Caenorhabditis elegans: one gene and its partners. The protein of the gene in region 2 purifies or fractionates together with the protein of the main gene of each other region. This does not show direct contact. Each region holds a gene or a part of one and is shown on either strand. Other genes may lie near its edges.

The links. Proteins that work in one complex are often made in the same cells at the same time.
Region 1: the proteins of bar-1 (region 2) and lin-23 purify together in Caenorhabditis elegans (affinity purification with western blotting, with the first as the bait; one study listed by BioGRID). This does not show direct contact.
Region 3: the proteins of bar-1 (region 2) and ubq-1 purify together in Caenorhabditis elegans (affinity purification with western blotting, with the first as the bait; one study listed by BioGRID). This does not show direct contact.

What each region holds. Positions count from the first base shown.
Region 1 is NC_003280.10:6,368,082-6,376,217, forward strand, and holds lin-23 (F-box domain-containing protein), read left to right. Parts: upstream 1-3,221; 5' UTR 3,222-3,231; coding exon 3,232-3,357; intron 3,358-3,475; coding exon 3,476-3,614; intron 3,615-3,667; coding exon 3,668-3,842; intron 3,843-3,895; coding exon 3,896-4,190; intron 4,191-4,237; coding exon 4,238-4,606; intron 4,607-4,741; coding exon 4,742-5,182; intron 5,183-5,331; coding exon 5,332-5,682; intron 5,683-5,723; coding exon 5,724-5,831; 3' UTR 5,832-6,469; downstream 6,470-8,136. Other genes in the region: Serine carboxypeptidase ctsa-4.1, read left to right, coding at 8-154, 201-310, 422-503, 548-634, 681-768, 815-939. UniProt on the Caenorhabditis elegans protein: Functions cell autonomously to negatively regulate cell cycle progression. Required to restrain cell proliferation in response to developmental cues. Probably recognizes and binds to some proteins and promotes their ubiquitination and degradation.
Region 2 is NC_003284.9:7,164,371-7,173,620, reverse strand, and holds bar-1 (Beta-catenin/armadillo-related protein 1), read left to right. Parts: upstream 1-2,995; 5' UTR 2,996-3,004; coding exon 3,005-3,072; intron 3,073-3,186; coding exon 3,187-3,313; intron 3,314-3,378; coding exon 3,379-3,474; intron 3,475-3,531; coding exon 3,532-3,636; intron 3,637-4,269; coding exon 4,270-4,416; intron 4,417-4,462; coding exon 4,463-4,587; intron 4,588-4,635; coding exon 4,636-4,750; intron 4,751-4,804; coding exon 4,805-5,017; intron 5,018-5,064; coding exon 5,065-5,310; intron 5,311-5,355; coding exon 5,356-5,469; intron 5,470-5,512; coding exon 5,513-5,656; intron 5,657-5,704; coding exon 5,705-5,830; intron 5,831-5,876; coding exon 5,877-5,972; intron 5,973-6,015; coding exon 6,016-6,247; intron 6,248-6,291; coding exon 6,292-6,380; intron 6,381-6,426; coding exon 6,427-6,583; intron 6,584-7,233; coding exon 7,234-7,469; 3' UTR 7,470-7,616; downstream 7,617-9,250. Other genes in the region: pgp-10 (P-GlycoProtein related), read right to left, coding at 7,735-7,871, 7,984-8,194, 8,236-8,340, 8,390-8,596, 8,856-8,945, 8,992-9,151, 9,203-9,250.
Region 3 is NC_003281.10:5,938,030-5,945,494, reverse strand, and holds ubq-1 (Ubiquitin-related), read right to left. Parts: upstream 4,510-7,465; 5' UTR 4,505-4,509; coding exon 4,138-4,504; intron 4,088-4,137; coding exon 3,632-4,087; intron 3,579-3,631; coding exon 2,895-3,578; intron 2,847-2,894; coding exon 2,163-2,846; intron 2,113-2,162; coding exon 1,787-2,112; 3' UTR 1,668-1,786; downstream 1-1,667. Other genes in the region: F25B5.5 (CDK5RAP1-like protein), read left to right, coding at 120-185, 237-381, 432-792, 837-990, 1,036-1,166, 1,210-1,359, 1,409-1,579. UniProt on the Caenorhabditis elegans protein: Ubiquitin exists either covalently attached to another protein, or free (unanchored).

The sequences.
Region 1 (8,136 bases), on a different chromosome or scaffold from region 2:
ATTTCAGGCACTAGATGGTACTAATGAGCTTAATATGTACAACTTGTATGATGTTTGTTATTACAATCCAACCACAAATCTCAAAAAAGCTTTTATCGAAAGACAAATGAGAATAGCCGTCGGATTACCAGCAAGAAAACATAATGCAGCTACCGTAATACTAGATTTCAGAAACTACTATAATTTCAAAATACTTTCAGACAGTTCCGCTTTGTGCTCAAACCAATAATACACATGTTTATTTGAATAGAGCGGATGTTCGGAAAAGTTTGCACATTCCAAGTTCTCTTCCAGCATGGGAAGAGTGTAGGTTGGTTTTTGTGGGGTCTATGTCTTCTCGGTATTACCTGGAGGAAAGTTTGCTAGAATATTGCGTAGTGTCATCTTACAATTAATTAATCCTAATTGTTTTCTCTTACAGCGACCAAGTTGGAAAGAATTATGTAGTAACACATTTCAATGTGATTCCCGAATTTCAGACAATGATTGCTGCAGGAATTAAAGTTTGAATATTTCAAATTAATTTCAAGTATTTAGAATTGTTTAGATTCTTGTCTACAATGGAGATGTGGACACTGCTTGTAATTCAATCATGAATCAACAGTTTTTGACATCACTCAACCTGACAGTTCTTGTTAGTTTCTCTTGTCTTTATTTTATATTTAACTTTTATTTTTTAGGGAGAACAGGAGAAAGTGAACGAGGCTTGGCACTACTCCGGCCAGACTGGAACTGCAGTAGCTGGGTTTCAGACCAAGTTCGCCGGAAGTTTGTTGCCTTTAATATCATTTTAAACCTACATAACCATTTACAGATGTTGATTTTTTGACCGTTCGTGGAAGTGGCCACTTTGTGCCTGAAGACAAACCTAAGGAATCGCAGCAAATGATTTTTAATTTTATCAATAATAAGGACTATTCTACTCCTATTCAACTTTGATCATTGACTGTGATTTATTAATTTTTGGAGAAGTTTCTATTTAAGGCAATAAAAAGAAAATTGAGTTACTTAAAAGTAGCGAAAATCTGGGAAATATTTTTAAATGAATCCAAATTTGCCTCTGATTCCGAATATATATGTGAAAAAATTCAAAAAATCTTCATTGATTTCACTACTCCATCTTTAAACTACAAAACTTAATAAATTCTAATTTTTGGTAATTTGGCAGTTTACCAAAAAGTTTGGCTGAATTTTTTTTGAGTGTTTTGTTATGGTACAGAAATACGTTTCATGTTTTTTTTTCAAAATGATTTACAAAAAAACTTCAAATTTCTAATTGTTCCTTGCCAATTGTACTAATGTTGACCTTTAGTATGCACCAATGATAACTGGATATTCTGTTTTTGGCAGATAGATATATTTGAATTTCAGATGAGTCTAATGAATAATAAATACCACGAACCTAGCCATCATTCGTGTTTTTATTTAACCAATAGAAGCACCCATCGAAGAAATAAAGGGTATAATGATTTTTCAATGAACCTGTTCAACATCCTAATGTCTTTTGTCTTGCAACAGAAGTTGACAGAAATTATGTGGTATTACGTTTAAGTGTAATTCTCAAATTTCAATGTATGGTATCAGCTAATTTAAAAGTTTGGATATTTCAAATTTAGTACAAAACTTAGAAAGTTTCAGATTCTATACTAAAAACAATTTTTTCAGAATTGTGAATTCCTTGAAAGTGTAATATACATGTAATAGAATAAATTATGTTTATGGGATACGTTTTGCAAATTTTTATTATAAGTGGTTTCGAATTTATCCGATTTCTGAAGCACAATAGGTCTTGCCACGAACAAAAAACTTTGAAGCAGATGTTGCACAAAAAGGTGTGCGCCTTTAAAGTTTACAGTACTCTCACTGTCCTCTTTCTGATGTATTTACTTGCGTCTGAAATCCTGAAATAAAAACCGCTAGACCAACGAAAACAAGATTTTTCAAACGAACACAAAACAGACGGAAAAGAAGGTAGGTTGAAAAAGAACGAGAGATATGTCAATCTAAATGTGTAATAATATCTCGAATTTCGGGTCTGAAAATCAAAAGTCGAGCTGAAAATGTGATCAGCAGACAGAGGGAGGTAGTATTAGAGTGCACGGGGTGCAGAAAAAGTACGAGAAATACCCTTTCCCACACTGTTTTCTCTTGCTTTCTCCGCTTTTCGCTAGTTTTAAAGGTGAACAGAATCCAGTTGGATTGGGCTAGACATCACATAAAATGCGGAGATTTAGAGAAGGCAAGCGCGCCCTAAAGCAAAGAGGGCGTGCACGAGACGGCGGGTCGATTCAAGCTCTAACTGTCTGCGTCTCCACTATTGAAAGGTGCTTCACCGCTGTCTCTAATCCGATTTTCTTTCTCTTTTCTACCTTCTTTTCTGTCTTTTCTTTTTTGTTTCCTTCTCGTAACACTCAAATCTTCCTTTCGTATAGTCGTTCGTTTTCATCGTTTTCCGTTAGTTGTGTATTTTCAGGAAAACCTGAGATATTTTCAATTTCCGAACGTTTGTTCTCGTTTAATGCCCAACCGCATCATAAAAACGTTAAATATGTTTCTCCCAAATGGAGAAAAGAGCAAATTTATGATTGAAAAACTAAAAAAAAGTCATGACTAAATAGTTATTATGCTCATCGAAAAATTTGCCAGTTTAAATGCTATTTTATCGATTTTCTGAAATGCCCTGAAATCTTTGATTAAAATCACTATTTTGATTCTCTATCGAGACATATAAAAGATTCTTGATTTATTTTTTAAAATAAGTTGAAATTATAAACACAAATTTGACGATAAACACCAAAATGTGCGTTACCTTTTCATTTGCAATACATATTATTTAATAAGTTTTTTAAATGTCAATCTTCAAATATTGTGTTGTTAAATTCAAACTCCCAGATGTTTTATTTGCTATTTTCAGCTGAAATTCAGATATTCCTATAACAATTTATTTTTCTATTTGGATTAACCAGTTCACTGATTCTGTAAAAGATTACGAAATCAAGAGAATTCTCGAAACAAAAAATTCATTGCAACGTTGATACAATTTCATCTTCGGAACATTTTCCCTTTAATTTCCTTTAAATTTCGATGATACTGATTAACTCACCTGATTATATGAGATCTTTCCGACTTTAAATTGATTTTTACACAAAAACATTGTTCTCTAAATATCGACATATTTTTATCTTCTAATCAATCAACACTCAATAATATCCATTTAATTCAGGACATTAAATGTCTTCACCGCACCGAGCTTCAACAACTCAGCAGCTGGCGGACTTATCGTTGACGGAAGGTGAACACGATGAGGGCAAACCGCTTTCTATTGACTACCTTCAAGGGCACGAAGGCCTGATCGAGGTAAGGAAAACGAGATTTCCCGTCATTCTAGCGCCATCATAATGTCGTTTTGATTTTTTTTTTTTTTTTTTTTTTGATTTTTCCCAAATCTTTCTTCAACTATCATCACCTTTTTCAGGAAGTATTAAAATGGAGTGAACACGAACAGCTCGATTTTATGGACAAAATTGTTCATCGATTATCACATTATCAGTTGGGAAAAGTCGACAACTTTATCAGGCCCATGCTCCAGAGAGATTTCATTAGTAATTTACCAGGTAAAATTTTTGTCTGTTCAGTATTAAACTAATCTAATTCTATTTTATTTCAGCACATCTTGTCGAATTAATTCTGTTTAATGTAAACTCGGATTCATTAAAATCTTGCGAAGAAGTGAGCACAAGCTGGCGATGTGCACTCGCCCGTGGTCAACATTGGAAGAAATTGATTGAAAAGAATGTTCGAAGTGATTCCCTGTGGTGGGGACTTTCTGAAAAAAGACAATGGTTAGTTGATGATTTAGTTTATCAGAAAATAGGAATAAAATACTTGATTTCAGGGACAAATTCCTGAATATCAGTCGAGACATGTCAGTGCGACGAATCTGTGAAAAATTCAACTACGATGTGAATATTAAACGGGATAAGCTTGATCAGCTCATTTTAATGCATGTCTTCTACAGTAAATTATATCCAAAAATCATTCGAGATATTCATAACATTGACAACAACTGGAAACGTGGAAACTACAAAATGACTCGAATAAATTGTCAATCAGAAAATAGCAAAGGAGTATATTGCCTTCAATATGACGATGACAAAATTGTATCTGGTTTGAGGGACAACACTATTAAAGTCAGAATGATATTATTTTGATTTCAAAATAACTCTGATATTTTTAGATTTGGGATAGAAAAGACTACAGCTGCAGTCGAATTCTTTCTGGACATACTGGTTCCGTTTTATGCCTTCAATATGACAATCGTGTAATAATTTCTGGATCTTCTGATGCCACAGTACGTGTCTGGGATGTCGAAACTGGAGAGTGCATTAAAACGTTAATTCATCATTGTGAAGCTGTTCTTCATCTTCGATTTGCTAATGGAATAATGGTAACATGCTCAAAAGATAGATCGATTGCTGTCTGGGATATGGTTTCGCCACGCGATATCACAATTCGAAGAGTTCTTGTTGGTCATAGAGCAGCTGTAAATGTCGTTGATTTTGATGATAGATATATAGTCAGTGCAAGTGGAGACCGAACTATTAAGGTGAGAATTTGAAATTAAAAAACTGCTTTTCCAGTTATTAAGAAGCTTTTTTTTTAATTTAAAGGTGTACTTATCGTTTGAGTCTCGTTTACTATTCTTGCGGTTCTGAAAATATTAATTTTTTTCAATATTCAGGTCTGGTCAATGGATACACTCGAGTTTGTTCGAACATTGGCTGGCCATCGACGAGGAATTGCATGTCTTCAATATCGTGGACGGCTCGTTGTTTCTGGATCCAGTGATAACACGATTCGACTATGGGATATTCATTCTGGTGTATGCCTACGTGTTCTTGAAGGCCATGAAGAGCTCGTGCGATGCATTCGATTTGACGAAAAACGAATTGTCTCCGGAGCATACGACGGAAAGATTAAAGTATGGGATCTTCAAGCTGCTCTAGATCCTCGTGCATTATCTTCGGAAATATGCCTCTGCTCATTAGTTCAACATACTGGCAGAGTGTTCCGCCTGCAGTTTGATGATTTCCAAATTGTTTCCTCTTCACATGATGACACTATTCTCATTTGGGACTTTTTGGACGCTCCACCCAGTGGGCTTCCGTCTTCAACAAACAGAGTAAGTACAACATCTGGATCAAATCTGTTAATTGAGAAATGGCAGTACATTTGATAGTCTTCAAAATTCGCAAATACACTTTGAAGAAAAAAAAGTGCTTGCAAATTTGTAGTCAGTTTCTTTTCCGTGATTCATATTTATTTTTCTAGGCCACCCTCCCAGAACTTCCAAACCAAGCTGCTGTCGCTCGAGCTCAAATGCTTTTTGAAATGGCTGCTCGACGAGAAATTGAGCGACGAGATAGAGAAGTTGTGGAAGAACCTGCACTGAGGCCACGTGCCAATGCTGCTCGTCGACACAATGCCGATATTGCAGCAGCTGCAGCAGCGGCGGAAGCTGCTAGAGGTGCCGGGGACAATGATGAATCGTCATCAGAGGAAGATCTGGACAGAGTTGATCAGGTTAATAATCCGAACGTGGCTGGACCAGCGCCACCGCAACCACACAATCAGAATCATAGAAGGAGGCAACCAAGACCAGAATTGCCTGTCAGACTTATGGTAAAATTGAAAATTGAATGATGAGACTAAAGATTGACAAGTTTCAGCAAGAAATGGCTGCTTTTGACAATATGCGCCGACAACAAAATAATATGGATCACCTGGGCGGAGGCGACGTAGACGAAGAGATGCCAGATGGTGGCCCATAAAATCTACACTCCTTCCCATTTTTTTTTGAATTTTTACTGATCTTCAACCGGTGCAGAAATCAACCAAACCCTCTGTAATCTTCCTTGTCATTTTCCAAAAAAGAAAGTTGAAATTCCTTTGTACAGTATCCTTTTGCATCCCCTTCCCAACTTTTCCTCTCACTATTAACTGATCTGATTTCATGTGATAATAGTGTGTGTGTGTGTCTCTGCATTCTATTCATCTTTTCTCAATCGACATATTGGAATATCGCACGCACAACCCCTTTCTTTCTTGTTTTTGTAACCGCATTCGAGTCCTGGTTTTTCTGAAACTATTTTTTTAATACTTCAATTTTCAAAGTCGCATGCTTTGCGGGTGCCCATTCATCCACTCTCACCATTTTATTTTGTTTTTCATCCCTCTTCCCATTTCTCAACGGTTTTTCTTCTACGGCGACGATTCTAAATGCTTCTATCCCCCGCTTTCCTCACCCGCACATTTTCAATCGCTTCACACAAATCTGTTTCAAATAATCGTTTTCGTTCCTAATTTTTCTCCCCTTCCATTGCCTCCAATTCCAAATTTCTTTTATTCGCTCGGAAAATTGTGTTCTGTATAGTTCGAAATGATATAAACAAATTTGGGTTTTGCTACTCCACAATCTGCCATTCCATCTTTTTTTCTAAATTAGAGTTTCTCATTATCATTCTTCTGTCACTTCCTGTCTTTCCTACGTCATTGTCACTGACAACTTTGCAGAACCGATTTGAGCATTTCTGCAACTTTCTTCTATTACATCTCTACGTCCCCATTCTTATCACACTATTTATTTAGTCATGTGACAAGAGTGATAATGAGAAAATAATTAACCTTCCACTGAATCCCAGTTTTGTAGTAGAAAAAAGTCAAAAGTTATAATCGATAAGCATGCAAAATCAAGTCATGCGACAGTTAAATGACAACATATCGATTAGATATTTCACAAGAAAGTTTACGGAATTTTCCATATTTCAATTGCAATTCGATCAAAAATGTGACAGCTCAAGTGTTTGGCAGATCAAGTGTTTGGCAGATGGGTGGTGTCACATTTTAATGCCAAAACTAATATTTCTCCTCTGCAAAAGCAAAAAAGCGGTAAGTTTGAACCCGAAGTGTGGCAAAAAAAGTTCAATTTGGCACACACCTTTGAGTTCTTATCAATTTCCGGAGAGGTTAGAATGGGATTATTGTAAAGTTCACGAATTGTCGGAGATTGGAATGTTTCACAACTATTTTCATAGTGGACACACTATGTAGGATGACTATAGATTTTTGATTTAATACGAATTCGCGAAGCAATCAAAAAACGAGTACAACACATTGAAACCTAGACGATGACAAGTTACAGTACCCTTTTCAATTGGTTTAGGAAGCGATTCAGCAGTAAATGTGATTTTTTTCTGTTTCAAATGAATACCTGGTTTTCGTGGATAGTATAAATATTTGTATTGTTATTCGAGACAGTTTATATAGTTGTTCACCCAATCATCGTTTGCATTAAGTTGTCAATACTCTAGAATTAACTATGATGAGCCAAATAACGATGCTCACTATTTTTTGCCTTCTGAATAAAAATAAATCATGTTGAGTGTAATTGAAAGTTCGAAACGTTCTACTACTGTAATTCAATTGAAATGTAAAATTAAAGATGACCTGATTTCATTTTGAATACCACACAAAACTCTACTTTTTAAGCGCAAATAAAAGTTTTTATACACATTTTTGAAGGATATAAAATTTTTTTTTTCGGTAAATATCAATTTTATTTCATAGTGTATTTCATTCTAAAACTAAAACAATGTAATTTTGTACTTTTTCGTGTAGACAGGAACTTTCTTGTGATTGTAGCTATGATCGTAGTTTTGTGTCAGAAACCACAAACCCCCCAGAATGTAGGCTATTTTATTAGGTGCAACTTTTTGAAGTAATCAAACATCTAATAAACATCAAATCCACCCTCACTCAAATGCCAGTTTCTTTCTGATCTCTAGAATTTTCAGTTGAATTTTGAATTAGTTTCAATGAGTTATTTAATGTTTTTTTTTTGGAAAACAACCAGTCAAGTTCCTTTTCGACAATATTTGGATGCAGAATTTCTGATGAGGAATCGAGTCTGATGAATTTTAAATTGAAGTTGATAAGCTGAAAGTTAATAATCAATGAACTGAAATAGGTTACCGAAATAGAAATATTCGAAATCTTATTTACTTGGAAGACATGAAAATTTCAACTCACGAATCATTTTCGAACTGAATATTTAAATATGTGAATCTCAATTCAAAA
Region 2 (9,250 bases):
AATGTGACAACATTCGTTTTAATCAATTGGTTACATCAAGAACTGTTGCCGTTTTTGCTATTTCTTTTTCTCATTAAATCCTCTTCATTTTCAATTTTCTCTCTGTCTATTAGTTCCACAAACGACCTTATCAATCTCCCAAACATTTAGCGTCGACAGTCGACACACACACACACACATACAAGCGACACTAAAAAATTGCACTAAAATGTTTTTACCCTTCTTTTCAATTTTTGCTTAGGCGCTAGAAGATGGAAAAGGGGCAATTGTAATGTACTCGCCGAGAAACAGAATAATGGATAATTTTTCATGTTGTCCTCGTGCCCTGCTGAGGGGATAGACAGATTGGACGCTACTGTCCGGTCGGTGATTCCTATCGTACTTCCCTCAAAAAGAGGTTCAAGATGGTATTTCTCACCTCCAACAATTATCTTCCTTACTTTCGATGATATCCTCATGTTTTATATTTTTAGTGTTCATTACGCGCGAAAAATTTACTGCAATAAAAAATAAACACAACAAAAAAAGGAGATGAAGACAGAAGGAAACATGATGAATCCTTCATTCTTATCGTCAATCTTTTTGCTGAAAAATGTCTATCTTTTTACCGTCTCCCATGAATTTTGATCTCCATTGTTTTTTTTTTCTGTAGTTCTTTATAATCTATAATAACAATCGCATGGTCACATGGGCGCGCTGCAAGGTGCGATTTGTTCTGAAATAACCGGGACACGTGGCCATTCAGAAATAATTGTAACAGTTATTTTATCCGGTTTTCATGAAATACCGAAATAATTTGTTTTGTTTTCAATCCGGAAAAACTAAAATTTGAAATGGAAGTACCAAAATACTTCTTCTATGAGGCTCTACGGCCAAAAATATTATATTAATTTTTAGGTAATGTTCCAAATGGAGTTTGAGGTGGCAATAATTTGAAGATAATATTCATTGCGTTTGTTGGTGTCCAACAAGTTTTCAAATAAATAATCACGTAGAATTTTGAAGAAAAAATTAAAGCACTTATTCTGACAACTGTATATTTACGTATCTACTTTTTTTCGAATTATTATATTAGTTCAGTTACTTCCAAATGAACACTGCAACATTCCACTGCGTCTTATTCTTTTCTTCAAAATTGATAATATGTATCATTATCATGTGTTAAAATTTTCATTTCTCGCAATCTTTACTTATCATCTTTTTAGAAACCCAACTTTGGAATATTGACGCCTGTATTGAAAAATTGGTGAAGGATTGAAAAATTTCAGTTAAAAAAAGTTATTTTTTTATGAGATCCTTTTTGCAATAGTCATAAATAACACACATTGCAAGTTAAAATAACTTTTGAGGTTAAAAATGTTTTTTTTTAGCACAAGACGGAAGCACTGATTTTTTAAATATTCCAATTTCCTGTAAGATTTTGAAATGTTAAATGATGTCTTTATGAAAGATTGCTCATAAGGAGAACACTGTTATCAGTAAACCCCCGACATGGAGCACCCGTTGCAACACTTTTCTCCATTTCTTAAACAAACTATTCTTCTTTTATTGCTTTTTCTCGACGTAATTTCACTTTTTTCCGGTTGTAAAATAATAATATATTATAAGTTTTTACAACTTAAAAAATAAATTGAGCAAAAACTTTTTCAGAATAGTATGAAAGATAGTTAATTCATTAATATAATTTTTAAGTTGTAGTCTTTATGACATTGTGTACATAACAAGTAAATGCAATTTGTCTGTGAAAGTGTTTAAATGTACAAACAATAGGCAACTCATACCCACTAAATGAGTCATTAACGTGTCCTTCAAAAAATCAAAGTTCATAGTATTGGAAAACAGGATAAAAAGTCATATTAATGATGATGCTTTTCTTCAGCGGAAATAAAAAAAAACCTTTTCAAAAGTGTATCATGAAAATTAGCAATTGATCCATTGCATGAAACAATAAAAAAAACATAATTTATAGTAGTGAACTCCAATAAAATTATAATAAATAACAATCAAAGTTTTGCTTAAATAATTTGAATGCCAGAAACTTAGCCTGAAAGAAAATTAACTTTTTTTTATCATTCACAGTTTGCAATTTTATCCTGCAATTTGAAAGTTAACACAATTTTTAAAAATTATTTTTAAGGTTGTACTCTTGGTTATTCTAATTTGCCATGATTAACACTTTCCTATTGACCAAACTTTTGTCTAAAATGAATAATCCTGATAACGATTCTGTCTAACGGAAACCAAATGATGGCTTGTTTGATTTTCCACTAGAAACCTTTTGAAAAACAGCAAATCTGGGTCGTTATGCTGATATGATATAAATGAATAAGAAAATAAAGAAGAATAAAAATGAAGGACTTGATAAATAAGAGTCGACTAATTATCCCAACTGATAATTTACGACTAAGCTATCCCATTTCTATTTTCTCTCCCAGCCTTCCCAGTTCTCCTCCCAAATACATCCTTATCAAAGTTGTTTCCCCCGTCTTTCCCGTTTGTTCATTTCAAACCCACAACTGATGACTGTGTGCCTTCTCGTTTCACCACAGATAATCATTATTATTGAAACATACCTCTAAATTTTATTAGCCAATTTCACACCTTTGGCTGCTCACTCACTGATAGGTGATTGAAAGCACGAAAGAAAATGGGTTGAATAATGCGAGCGGGACGGGCAAGGGGATGGGAATGATTGGGGGTGAAATAGAAGCCATCTGATATCAATAGCCCTTTACTCTAGGTTAGGTACAAACCGCTCATTTCTATTATTGCTTTTTCTTCATTACACAAGCCTTAGACTCTCTATCTCACTATTTCACCGCCCCATCACCACACACTCTTTCTTGTGCCCAGCAGGAAGATTTGTAATGTTTTCAAACATTTTGTTCATTCAGTTTTTTCACTGCTTTTTCCTATTTTTTCTCTTCATCCGGCAGACAAATCGTTTTTCTTGTTCGAATTGATTCATAAAAAAATATTTGGCTTTTTTTTTCAGAAAACTGGGATGGACCTGGATCCGAACCTAGTTATTAACCATGACGACACAAATTTATCAGAGGCATCTTTTACAATGTAAGTTTTTTTGATTGAACGAGCCTGCAAATTTGAGGAAAAGAAACAATTTATTTTGATGTTGGGAGTTATCAAAAAAAAAATTTTAAAACTGTTTTAAAATATTTTTTACAGGGAGCAACACACCTCGAGCTATTCGGATATACACATGGGCTCAACGCCCTGCACCGGCCACCGCAAGGTGGATATGTGGCGGAATCACAACTTTGATAGCGGTTTCCAAACAATGAATCACAGTGAGGTACGAGAAAACAGAGGAGAGATAGACACACACACACAACAAAGATTAATGTGTTTCAATTTCAGGCTCCATCTATTATATCATCTCTACATCCGTCATCGCATCTTTCCGGAATGTCATCCATGGCCGACTATGAGCCGATCCCCACTCTTTCAGATCAAGTAAGACCATTTCATATCAAAATGCGCTGGTGGACAAAATTGTTATTTTTCTTCCAGCAAAAACAAAAGTTTGATGGGATCACGCAAAATCAAGCGGATGGGCAGTATAACACAGTTCGAGCAATTCCAGAACTCACTATGCTTATGAAAGATCAGGATAATGTAAGATTTTTTTGTTCAAAACTTTTTTGAAATATTCATACTCATAATTTCACAATATATGAATTAAAAAAATCCTCGGTTTTGACCTATTTTTTATATTTTAATTATATTCAAACATCTTGTATTCCAACATGCAACAATGCTCGAAATGTTACAAATTTTTGGAAAACTTAGCAACTTATCAGAACTGTGACTGAAATTTTTGAAAAAAAAACTTTAAAAAATTAGAAACGTATGTCTACTATTACTATTATTACTATTACTATTACTATTACTACTATTACTGGACTACTATTATTTCATTTAGGTATAATATGATGTTAATTGATTTTTAACTTTCAATTACTCAAAATAAATTATCAAATCTACAGTAAGAAAAATATTTAGTCGAATTTATTCACTTAAATTTTCAAATCACAAAATCTGAAATTAAACTATGAACTTTTGATTTCAGTACTGATATTAACACAAAGATAAATTGGTTCTAATGCTGCTTACTGATGAAGCCGGTGTTTGAACTTTTGATTGTTTGTAACATTTAAAATCGATTATCAAAATTGAAGTATCTGGAAAAAATTTAAAAAAATTGATTGTTCTGCTGAAAAAAACATTATTCAAACAAAAATCTTACAGGAGGTTGTGCACAAAGCTGTAATTCTGATGCAAAATATTGCGAAGATGGAGTGTGACCCAATGCGACGGCAAAATGAAGCTCGAATTGTGGACCCCCGTGTTATATTTACACTGCGTGATCTTCTCCGTGACAAAGTTGAATTCCCGGTATAGCTTGTGCACTTGCACAGTTTAATACATCATATATTTTCAGAACATCATTCGTTGCACTTTGGGAACATTCTTCCACATTTGCAACCGACAGGAAGGAATTGATCTTGTCACTCGAGCGATCGCAGAACAACCTGATATAATTCCAAATCTTATTAGGCATATTGGGTAAGAAAGTTAAATTTCAGAAAAAAATCATTCAAATAGCTGTTACAGTACTTATCCAAGTTCAATATACAAATATGCCATTCTTACTATGCATTCGATTCTGTCCGATAAGCAGAGAGGCGGACAAAGTGTGATCATTGCGCGTCAACAAGATGCGATTACTGTAAGATTAAAGAAGAAAAAAAATTGAAAAAAAAAAATTTACAAAAAATTGCAGCATGTGACTCCGTGGTTAGAAGCGGAGAAATCAGAAAAACTTCTTCCAGTGATAGTTGACTTGATCAGAGTTTTGTGTGAAAAGAACACCGAACAGAAAATCAAGTTTGTGAAAATGGGAGGACCTCAAAAACTGCTCATGCTACTACAACACAGAGTTTATGAAAATTTGCTTTGGCGAACTACGCAACTTTTGAAAACATTTTCGAACTTTGTAAGAAATATTTGAAACTGAAGGATGTAATGTCTGAACTTTTCCAGGACGCTCCAAATCTTGTTGCTTTTGGTGGTCGCCAAATTCTCGCCAATCTTCTTTCACATGGTAGTCCGCGACTTGTACAATCAACCCTTGAAACTTTGCGAAATATAAGTGACGTACCAAGCAAAATAAAAGAAGATTTACTTTTGAAATCTCTTCTGGAGCTGGTCAATTCTCGAAATACAACAATCCGTCTATATTCTGCTCAGATAATGTCAAATCTAGTTGCAAACAACAGGCATAACAAGGTGCTTTTGTCAGAAATCAAGATATAGTATTAATTTTAATTCCAGGAGTTTATGTGTGGCAACAATGGGGTTGTCATTCTTGTGAGAGCTTTAACAATTGCCACCAAAGAGATGGGTGACTTGAGAGATAAAGAAGCACAGCAAATGGAGGATTATATTGTAATAACATTTAAATTTCAAAGCTTAACAATACGGTTTTCAGGAAAGCCTAATTTGCACGCTACGGCATCTCTGTGTTGGACATCCAATGTCAGATAAGGTCCAAGCATTTGTTTTCCGAGATCCTGCATTATTTCTACACAAATTGTTAACAATGAGACCAGTATTGCTGAAACACACATTGAGTGTAAGTCATTAATTTGAAGGGCTAATAAGAAATTGAGATTTAATTTAGCTCCTGCTGAAAGTTGTATCCCAACATGCCCTTCTTGCTCCATTCCGATCATGCCGAATTGGAGATAAAGGTTTTGTTGAGCAACTCATTCATATTTTGAGAGTGGCATGTACCCAGCTGAATGTGGTAAGTAAAAAGTCAACAAACCGACTAATAATTGTTGGATTTCAAGCAAGAATCTATCGAAGGTGTCCGCGTGAAAGATATCATTCATCTTTGTATTCAAATCCTGCGATGGATTACAAGAGACCAGGACATTCTCAACGAGGTATTAATGTTTTCAGGTTGAAAACCCAAATTTCAATTTATAGGTTGTTTTCTTCCTGCAAACTCCTGAAAATAGCCGAATGGGCGATGGTCATACTCTTCCAATTTTTGTATTACAAAAAGCCAACGTTGAAGAGAACACGAAATCATCGGCTCTGGCCTTGATTTATAATTTGATGCATCATGAGCAAATGGCAAACGTACTTGACAGAGATGACGTTCTTGTTAAAATGCTTCAAAATGTTCAAATGCAATCTCAAACTCACCCTGAATTAGGTAACGTTGCACACCAATAGACAAGTAGAACTGAAAATTTACAGCAAGTCTAGCAAATAATATTCTCAAGATGATGTATGAGAAGCGAGAAAAGACAAGGAATACTCTTCCAAGATACAATTCATATTTAGAGGTAACACAAAATGGGGGATAACTCTAAGAAAAAGTCAGTATTACAGAGCCAATTTGGTCACATGAGCATGACCACCCCACGAAGCGAAGCACTAAATAGTAGCGGTGAAGTGTGTGAGGGAGCTGGAGAGCAATGGTCTACACCTTTAACAGATGATACTATGATGGATTCGTATTGCAACAGCTCCGGACGAGATTCATCAAGTAAGATATAAGATGACAATTTAATTTGCTCTAGGAAGCTAATCAAATTTAACAAATAACTTTCGGCCATTTTGACATTTGCCGGATGTCAAAATTTTGAAGATGTCTTTAGAAAAGCAGTTTAAAATATAAGCTCAACAAAGATATATGTTCGATAATTTTCAAAGCTTCGGCAACACGATTGTTCGTTGCCGAAAACTTCCCGAAGTTTTTATATATTGCCAACTTTGATAAACGCAGGATTCCAAAGATTCTATCTACATACATAGTTTTGCTTACCATTGTGAGAGCGAAAAAAAAACTTAGGAAAATTGTTATAGATGTAATTTTTCAACTTTTTTAAAATAACAATCAAAATTTGACAATTATTCATTTTACATAGTTACCCATTTTTTGGAAGTAAAAATTGTTTAAATGTGAAATGAAGGTTTTTAATTAACGTATTTGCTCTATAAGTGGGGGTGCCAAAACTTTTTGAAAGAATACATATATTTCGTAATATTTTATTTCGGCTGTATGATTGTTTTGTTTTTTTCTTAAGATTATTTTACTAAACTTTTCACTGACGCTACTCCACCTTCGAATTGGATTGAGACAATATACTATTAAAGAAACTATGAACCTAGAACCAAAAACAAATATTTCTTCAGAACCATACAACTCACCAATGTACCATTCCCCACCAGCAATGTATCCAGAATACTCAATTGGACCTCCCGAGACGTACTTGGATCCCCATGCCACAGCATCTTGTTATCCGCGACCAACGCCTCCTCAATATAACAGCTATGACCGTAGTCCACCAGTTTACAACGACCTTCCATCAAACCCTGGTCCGAGTAGTCATTCGTCTGATTATTATCCTTCTAGGAATAGTCGATTTTAATTTTTTAATTATAACATAGACCCCCACACTTTCCACCACCCCAGTCGGATATTTGTTGCACATTCCTTGAAAATGAGATTCTAATTATTTGTATACGGGTTCATGAATTGGCATGCAAAATATGTTGAATAAAGTGAATTTTTATTGAATTTCAATTTCAGAAAGTGTGTCAGATAAGAAAATTTTTATAAAAATAACAACTATTATTTACAAATTATGAATTCCAGATTCAGAGTGTAGTTTTTGCATGCCAAAACAAATTCATTTACGTCATTTGATTCATTTCGTAGTAGATACCCTTCAAGTTGATAAGCTGCTCATGGCTACCTTCCTCGGCAATTTCTCCATGAACAATAACGTATATTTTGTCGACGTTTCGAATTGTTGATAAACGATGAGCGACTGGAAAAAAAACATTTTTCCCGTTAGAGATTTGCCAATTCTCGTGACGTACTGGCTGAGAGTTTAAACCGCATTAAATATTACTTTTCAGTTTCAATATACTAATTCTTACTTTGAATACACGTGCATTGAGTCTTCGTACTCCTCTTGACTCGTTCAAAAGCGTTTTGAACTTCTCTCTCGCTGGCGCTATCCAATGCCGATGTTGCCTCATCTAACAGTAGAACAGTTGGTTTTCTGATAATTGCACGGGCAATTGCAATTCTTTGTTTTTGACCGCCAGAGAGCTGGGCACCAAACTCTCCAACCTCTGTGTCGTAGCCCTAAATTGCTTTGTTTTAATGTGTTTTATTTTTAAACTCACCTGTGGTAAACTAGTGATAAAATTATGAATGTCCGCAATCTTTGCAGCTTCGATAACTTTATCAATTGTTGCTTCGCTTTCCATCATTCCAAAAGCAATATTTTCCTAAGAACAAGAACATTTTATTGTGATTTTGATAAATGGTTAAAGATACCTTGATGGTGAAAGAGAAAAGATCAGGTTCCTGGCCGACTTGTACAATGCATCTTCTTAAATAGGCCGGGTTTATAGATTTGATGTTGTACTTGTCAATGATAACAACACCATCCGTGGCGTTGTACATTCGTTGGAACAAAGAAATCACCGAGGATTTACCGGACCCGGAAGGTCCTACAAGTGCAATTGATTCTCCACCCCTGACCTTTAAGTTGATCGTTGAAATTCGATGCAAAAAAGGTACTTATGGGTTTCGTTCCCCTCAATATGTTTTCCATAATTTTTGATAGAGACGTGAACTTTTTTTCATTCTCAGGCTTAGGAAGATGGTTTCCTAAGCCTGAAAATGAAAATAGTATTAAAATAAACTTTCACGTGTGGATTAAAATTAAAAATTCAGTATTAAATAATTAAAAGAACATTTTGGGGGAACGAAACCCATAAGTATTAAAAAAAACACTGACCTTCAAGTTCAAGTTAGTCAACACTGGTACAATGGGTCTTGAAGGATATCTGAACGAAACATCCTTAAGACAGAGGTTTCCTTCCAGCTTCTAAAATAGAAAACTTGTATTTCCTTGGCTTAGTTAATAATTTTACCGGTCTTAAGCCTTCCTCTGATAAGTTATCCATGTCAACGGGTGGTTCTCTTATCACCCTCATAACGTTTTCAGCTGCAATCTGCGCTTTGGTAAAGTCACTGACAGATGCGATGAGTTGTGAGAAGAAATTGGCACCAAACTGAGTGAGCAGAACAACTCTTAAATGACATTTTCTTATTTTTATGTTTCTGCTGATCTGTTCTGGTTACCTCATATAATCAAATACACTAATTTCGTTTGCCAGCATCATCACTTTT
Region 3 (7,465 bases), on a different chromosome or scaffold from region 2:
AGCAAATCTAACGGGTATCGGAAATTCGTGAAAATAGAATATAATTAATTTTGAAATTGATATTTTTCAATTTTCCAACAAACAAAATTAAATATTAGAGGTAAAAAAATGATTTCCAGGTTGCATGGCAGAACGAGTACGACACGACTTGCTAGAGAAGCGGAATTTGGTTAATATTGTCGCAGGTGCGTTAAAAAATGCGTAAAATTCATGAATAAACACCTCAAATTTTACAGGTCCAGACTCGTACCGAGATCTTCCTCGCCTTGTCGCAGTTGCTGCAGGTGGTTCAAATGGAATTAATGTGCAACTTTCTCTCGATGAAACGTATGCAGATGTGCAACCGATTCGAGTCGATAGTGCTTCCAAGACGGCTTTCATGTTTGTCGATTTAAAAATTTCAATTTTAAAAAAACATTTTAAAACTTCAGTTCGATCATGCGAGGCTGTGACAATATGTGCACATACTGCGTGGTTCCATTCACAAGAGGAAGAGAACGAAGTCGGCCTATTGAATCAATTGTAGAAGAAGTTCAGAGGCTTCGAGATCAGGGATACAAACAGGTCACACTACTTGGACAAAATGTGAATAGCTATAGAGATATGACATCGATGGATTTCTCAATGGCTCCATCGACATCACAAGAGGACAGAGTTCCCGGTTTTAAGACTGTTTATAAACCAAAAAGTGGGGGCCTGACCTTTACAACATTGCTTGAAAAAGTCGCTGATGCAGCTCCAGATATCCGATTTCGGTTCACTTCCCCGCATCCAAAGGATTTCCCGATGCAGGTAACTTTTATGAAGCTTTAATTGATAATCATGATAACCTTCAGTTGATCGAGCTTATTGCATCCCGTCCAAATCTCTGCAAACAACTTCATCTTCCAGCACAAAGTGGAGATGATGAGACATTGGAACGGATGGAAAGAGGATACACAAGAGATCTGTATTTGAGATTAGTTGATGATATTAGACATGTTTTACCAAGTGAGTATGAATCACTCTTCAAACAAAACTTAATTATTTTATCAGGCGTCTCTCTGACAAGTGACTTCATTGCCGGATTCTGTGGAGAAACTGAACAAGCTCATCAGAACACACTTTCCCTCATTCGAGCCGTTCGTTATTCATTCTGCTTCGTTTTCCCCTACAGTATGCGTGGAGTGAGTCAGTTGCTGAAAATTGTTCCTATCAGATTATTTTCAGAAAACGCGAGCACATCATCGGTTAACAGACGATGTTCCAGAAGATGTAAAAGCAAGAAGACATTTAGATTTGACTACTGTATTTCGGGAAGAAGCATTGAAATTGAACCAAGCGCTTATCGGGTCGGAACAGACGGTTTTGTTGGAAGGAGTGAGTCATCTATAAACACCAATAAAATGAATTAAAATAATATTTTTAGAAGTCAAAAAGGGATGCATCATTTTCACATGGAAGGATCGATGGTGGTGTGAAAGCAGTGTTCGACAATTCGAAACTCTGTTTGGAACCTGGTCAATATGCAAAGATTCTGATCACCGACGCCAATTCGCAGACATTGAAAGCGCAACTCATAGGACAATCCAGCATCTGATCTATAAATATAGTTGAACCTTACACTTCATAGAGTAGTTATCTTTGTTGTTTGTTATTGTTAAAGATAAATCGTTTGAGTACACGAAAATGAATTTATTCAGAGCTCGTTCATTAAAATACAGAAATTCCCGAAGGAATAAAGAATAAATAATTGTTACTTGAACGGAGATCGAGGAGGAATAACGAGTGAATTGATGGGTTCGATTTAAATGTCTCCTCCGCGAAGACGAAGAACGAGATGAAGTGTCGACTCCTTTTGGATGTTGTAATCGGATAGAGTGCGTCCATCCTCGAGCTGCTTTCCAGCAAAGATCAAACGTTGCTGATCTGGTGGGATTCCCTCCTTATCCTGGATTTTGGCTTTGACATTCTCAATGGTGTCCGAAGCTTCGACCTCGAGAGTGATGGTTTTTCCAGTCAAAGTCTTGACGAAGATCTGCATACCTCCTCTGAGACGGAGCACCAAATGAAGAGTAGACTCCTTCTGGATATTGTAGTCCGAAAGGGTACGGCCATCCTCGAGTTGCTTTCCTGAAAAACAATAAAAATTAGTTTTAATTCTAAAAACAATATGAACTCACCAGCGAAAATAAGTCTCTGCTGATCTGGTGGAATTCCTTCCTTGTCTTGGATCTTGGCCTTGACATTTTCGATGGTGTCGGAGGCTTCGACTTCGAGGGTGATGGTCTTTCCGGTCAATGTCTTGACGAAGATCTGCATACCTCCTCTCAGACGGAGAACCAAATGAAGAGTAGACTCCTTTTGGATGTTGTAGTCGGAGAGGGTACGACCGTCTTCGAGTTGTTTTCCGGCGAAGATGAGTCTCTGCTGATCTGGTGGGATTCCTTCCTTGTCTTGAATCTTGGCCTTCACATTCTCGATGGTATCAGAGGCTTCGACTTCAAGTGTGATGGTCTTTCCAGTCAATGTCTTGACGAAGATCTGCATACCTCCTCTGAGACGGAGCACCAAATGGAGGGTTGATTCCTTCTGGATATTGTAGTCCGAAAGGGTACGGCCATCCTCGAGTTGCTTTCCGGCGAAGATCAAGCGTTGCTGATCTGGTGGGATACCTTCTTTGTCTTGGATCTTGGCCTTCACGTTCTCAATAGTGTCAGAAGCTTCCACCTCGAGCGTGATGGTCTTTCCTGTAAGAGTCTTGACGAAGATCTGCATTCCTCCTCGGAGACGGAGAACCAAGTGAAGAGTAGATTCCTTCTGAATGTTGTAATCAGAGAGCGTGCGCCCATCTTCCAATTGCTTTCCTGAAATAATAATAGTTGATTTGAGTTATGTATATCTATATAACGTACCGGCAAAGATAAGACGCTGCTGATCTGGTGGGATTCCTTCCTTGTCTTGGATCTTGGCCTTCACATTTTCGATGGTATCAGAGGCTTCGACTTCGAGGGTGATAGTCTTTCCAGTCAAAGTCTTCACGAAGATTTGCATACCTCCTCTCAAACGGAGAACCAAATGAAGAGTTGATTCCTTCTGGATGTTGTAGTCCGAAAGGGTGCGGCCGTCTTCGAGCTGCTTTCCAGCGAAGATGAGACGTTGCTGATCTGGAGGAATTCCTTCCTTGTCCTGAATCTTGGCCTTCACGTTCTCGATGGTATCGGAGGCTTCGACTTCGAGGGTGATGGTCTTTCCGATAAGAGTCTTGACGAAGATTTGCATTCCTCCTCGGAGACGGAGAACCAAATGAAGAGTAGACTCCTTTTGGATGTTGTAATCGGAGAGAGTACGGCCATCCTCGAGTTGCTTTCCGGCAAAGATCAAACGCTGTTGATCTGGTGGGATACCTTCCTTGTCTTGGATCTTGGCCTTCACGTTCTCAATAGTGTCAGAAGCTTCAACCTCAAGAGTAATAGTCTTTCCGGTCAAAGTCTTGACGAAGATCTGCATTCCTCCTCTTAGGCGGAGCACCAAATGGAGGGTTGATTCCTTCTGGATATTGTAGTCCGAAAGGGTACGGCCATCCTCGAGTTGCTTTCCTGAAAATATATAATAAATTTTAGGTCAAATATTAGATATTTTGCCAACGTACCAGCAAAAATAAGTCTCTGCTGATCTGGTGGAATTCCTTCCTTGTCTTGGATCTTGGCCTTGACATTTTCGATGGTGTCGGAGGCTTCGACTTCGAGGGTGATGGTCTTTCCGGTCAATGTCTTGACGAAGATCTGCATACCTCCTCTCAAACGGAGAACCAAATGAAGAGTTGATTCCTTCTGGATGTTGTAGTCCGAAAGGGTGCGGCCGTCCTCGAGCTGCTTTCCGGCGAAGATAAGTCTTTGCTGATCTGGTGGGATTCCTTCTTTATCTTGAATCTTAGCCTTGACATTTTCGATCGTGTCGGAAGCTTCGACTTCAAGTGTGATGGTCTTTCCAGTCAATGTCTTGACGAAGATCTGCATACCTCCTCTGAGGCGGAGCACCAAGTGGAGAGTAGACTCTTTCTGAATATTGTAATCAGAGAGTGTGCGTCCATCTTCCAATTGCTTTCCTGGAAAAAAATTAGTCTCTCATGAACAAAATTTGTTATATGTAACATACCAGCAAAGATAAGACGCTGCTGATCTGGTGGGATTCCCTCCTTGTCTTGAATCTTGGCCTTGACGTTCTCGATCGTGTCGGAAGCTTCAACTTCAAGTGTGATGGTCTTTCCAGTCAAAGTCTTGACAAAGATCTGCATTCCTCCTCTAAGACGAAGAACCAAGTGAAGAGTAGATTCCTTCTGGATGTTGTAGTCAGACAGGGTGCGGCCGTCCTCGAGCTGCTTTCCGGCGAAGATGAGACGCTGCTGATCTGGTGGAATTCCTTCCTTGTCTTGGATCTTGGCTTTGACATTTTCGATGGTATCGGAAGCCTCCACCTCCAGGGTGATAGTTTTTCCAGTCAACGTTTTGACGAAGATTTGCATGATTGCTGAAAAAATAGAAAATGAGTGCGAATAAAACTGGAATGAGGAGGCGAGAGAAGAGGTGATTATGAAAGAAAGTCCTAGAAAGTTGCGAAATATTACCCAAAAAATCGATACACTAGTAAGACTAACAAAGCAAACTTCATCCCCACTCGTCATAGGCAAGTCAAACGAAAAAAGAAAGGCATAAAAGTAAAATGGTAGTAAAGAGCTAATCGATGAGGAGTAATGTCCGAGTAGAGACAAGTGAAATGAGAATGGAGACAAGGTGGCACGCGAGCGGAGCGTTCTGGTCGAATGGGGTGTATGACTGCTGTATGCCCGCCTCAACGATCGATAAAACCCCCAACGCACGCGCACACTGACTCCGCCTTCCCCGAGTGTTGTTAGAGACGCAGATGTTCAGCTGATGTCCTCGTTTCTCTGACCGAAAATAACTACCAAGCAGTATTGCTAAAATGGGAAAATAATTCATATAACAACTGATTGAGATTATTCAAAAAAGCATGACATTTCTGTTGGTTTTACCCCGCTAAATCTTACAATTAGACAAAAAAAAAGAAACTCACCGTTTGGTAAACTGATTCTTGACAGTAATAAATTAAAGAGCGCCCAAAACGTGAATATTGAATCTACACGTTGAACTTTACTCAAACATTCTAATTAAACGACGCACGTATTATTGAAGGCCACAAAGTAAAAAATGTTGCTATGCTCACTTTCTGTTAGCAAGAAGTCGCCTATTACGAGAACCAGTGAGGAAGAGCAAGAGAAAGGAGGGGGGGGGGGGGGGTCGCTGACTCAAACGGCACTCTTTCTGCACAAGAAGAACATTCTAGAGTGCTGTGTAGGGAAAGAAATGATGAGGAAGAAGGGGACAATGTGTGCAGAGGGAATACAACGAAAATCGAACGGGGTGTTCTTTTTTCTCGTCATGCAACTGGGTCGACCAGTTTCTTTTCATCTTTAACTAAACGATAGAGAAATCATAGGCCTGAATAATAGTGACGTCTGTGTAAAGTATTGTTTCCATTTTTGTTACAGAAAATGATGAAACGAAGAATAGGAAAAGTGAACAGGGTCAGTTGTTCGTTTGACGCATATATAGGGAGAACATAAGAAAGAGCAGACGGTCAAGGACATTTTTTTATAATCTGCGACTAGCAGGAAAGTATGAATAATGTCCTAACGGCACCCGAACCAATTTTCAGACAGACGCGAAAGTGCTTGTACTTTGTACTGATGAACGAACGACAAAACAAGTGCAGTGAGAAAACGGGAGGACACTGGGGAGAATCATGTGAGCCCGTCATAAGACTAAAAGATGAGCTAGTGGCGATCAGGCGAAGGTTCAATACGACTATTGGGTCTTTTCAAGAGAGCCCCGGAAAACTAAATTTAAAAACATCAGTTAAGAGTACAACGAGAACAGGGAATGAGGAACGCACAGACTAAACATTAAAATTTTCCGATACTTTTCGAAAGTATTGCGAAATCAATAACAAAATACTTTGCTATGAGTTTTTTAAATGAAAACCGAAATAATGCAATTTTCTGAATGCTGGAAAGAGTGAAAAAGCGATACGAAAAAGCAGAGAGCAGCGAAAATAGCCGGCAACTCAAGATAATGAGAGAGCGCGAATGAATGAAGAAAATGATGGAAAGATCTGGAAAACAGAAACGAGCGGCAGAACGAATGCGAACGCGCCTTTCATGGTAGTGCGTGGCGGTTTCGTGGCGGGACCCAGGGAGGATTGCAGAACATGTTCCTTTAAATTAATTATTTATATTTTCATTGTAAATTTGTTTAAGAATACGAGAATTCTCGAATCCAGTTTGGAAAATATAATAAAAATTAAATGTTTTCAAAGAAAGATATCGAGACAGTTGCACATTAAACTTCCCGACAAAATCTATATTTAAATACGTTTTTCGAGTTTCTGATTTATTATGTGTCATGTTAAAATTGAAACATTACGCAATACTTTGAACTATGTTATTTATCATCAGAAAAAATTGACGTCTCATGAAAAATTAAAGCCTTGTGATCAAATTTCAAGGGTAACAAAAAATGATAATGACCAAAGCTTCATGTTTCTGATAAAATTTTATTGTATGGTCTTATAGGAGAAAATTGTACAATTCTCATTCTCCGGAAATTATTCCGAAGTGGAAGCTCACACTTGTTTTTGTTTTTCTCCATATCGAAATTTCACCGGGCTAAAATAGGAATGAGTGTTTGCGGAGGGTTGTCAAATTTGGTAGGAGGAAAACAAAATAGACGATAGGCGGAAATAAAGCACCTGGCAGTAACAGGTGCAGTGAAAGAAATAATGGAAACGATAGAAAAGTAAAGGTTTTATACAGCATTGACAAGCTGGATTCTTCTCGAAACTCGGGAATATCGCCACGTTGGAGAAAATCTAGTTTTTTTGTAAAGTTCTGTGGAAGCTTGAAAATGACTGCAAAGTTTTCAGAGAAACAAAGGAAAAATTGAAGTTTAAAGTTGTGTTCGAAAACGAAAATCGTGATTTATATCCTGCATTCTAACGAATAGCAATGAATAGTGATGATTTATTTCATCATCATTTTTCTCTTTTTAAGCCACGTCATAACTATTTGTATCTTCCTCACAATTGTTCAGTTAACTGAGAAACCTTTTAAAAAAGTATTATCAATTGAGAGATCACTGGCGCTTACTTGACGTGTGGCTATCTCGGTAGAAAACACGGAGAGACGCAAACATGTTTTTGGTGCGGAAAGTGCGGAAAAGAGGTGTTTGTTAAGTCGGCTGTGGGGAAACGAGAGGGAGACAGATACAATCTTGAAAAATTGACGACTATGATGATGATGATGCAAGCACGGAAATGGATGGTGGGGACTGGTTTGGAGAAAGCATCACGGGTCATGTGAGAGAAGAAAGATGCAAATAGGGAGGAAAGTGATGGAACGGGTAAGGGT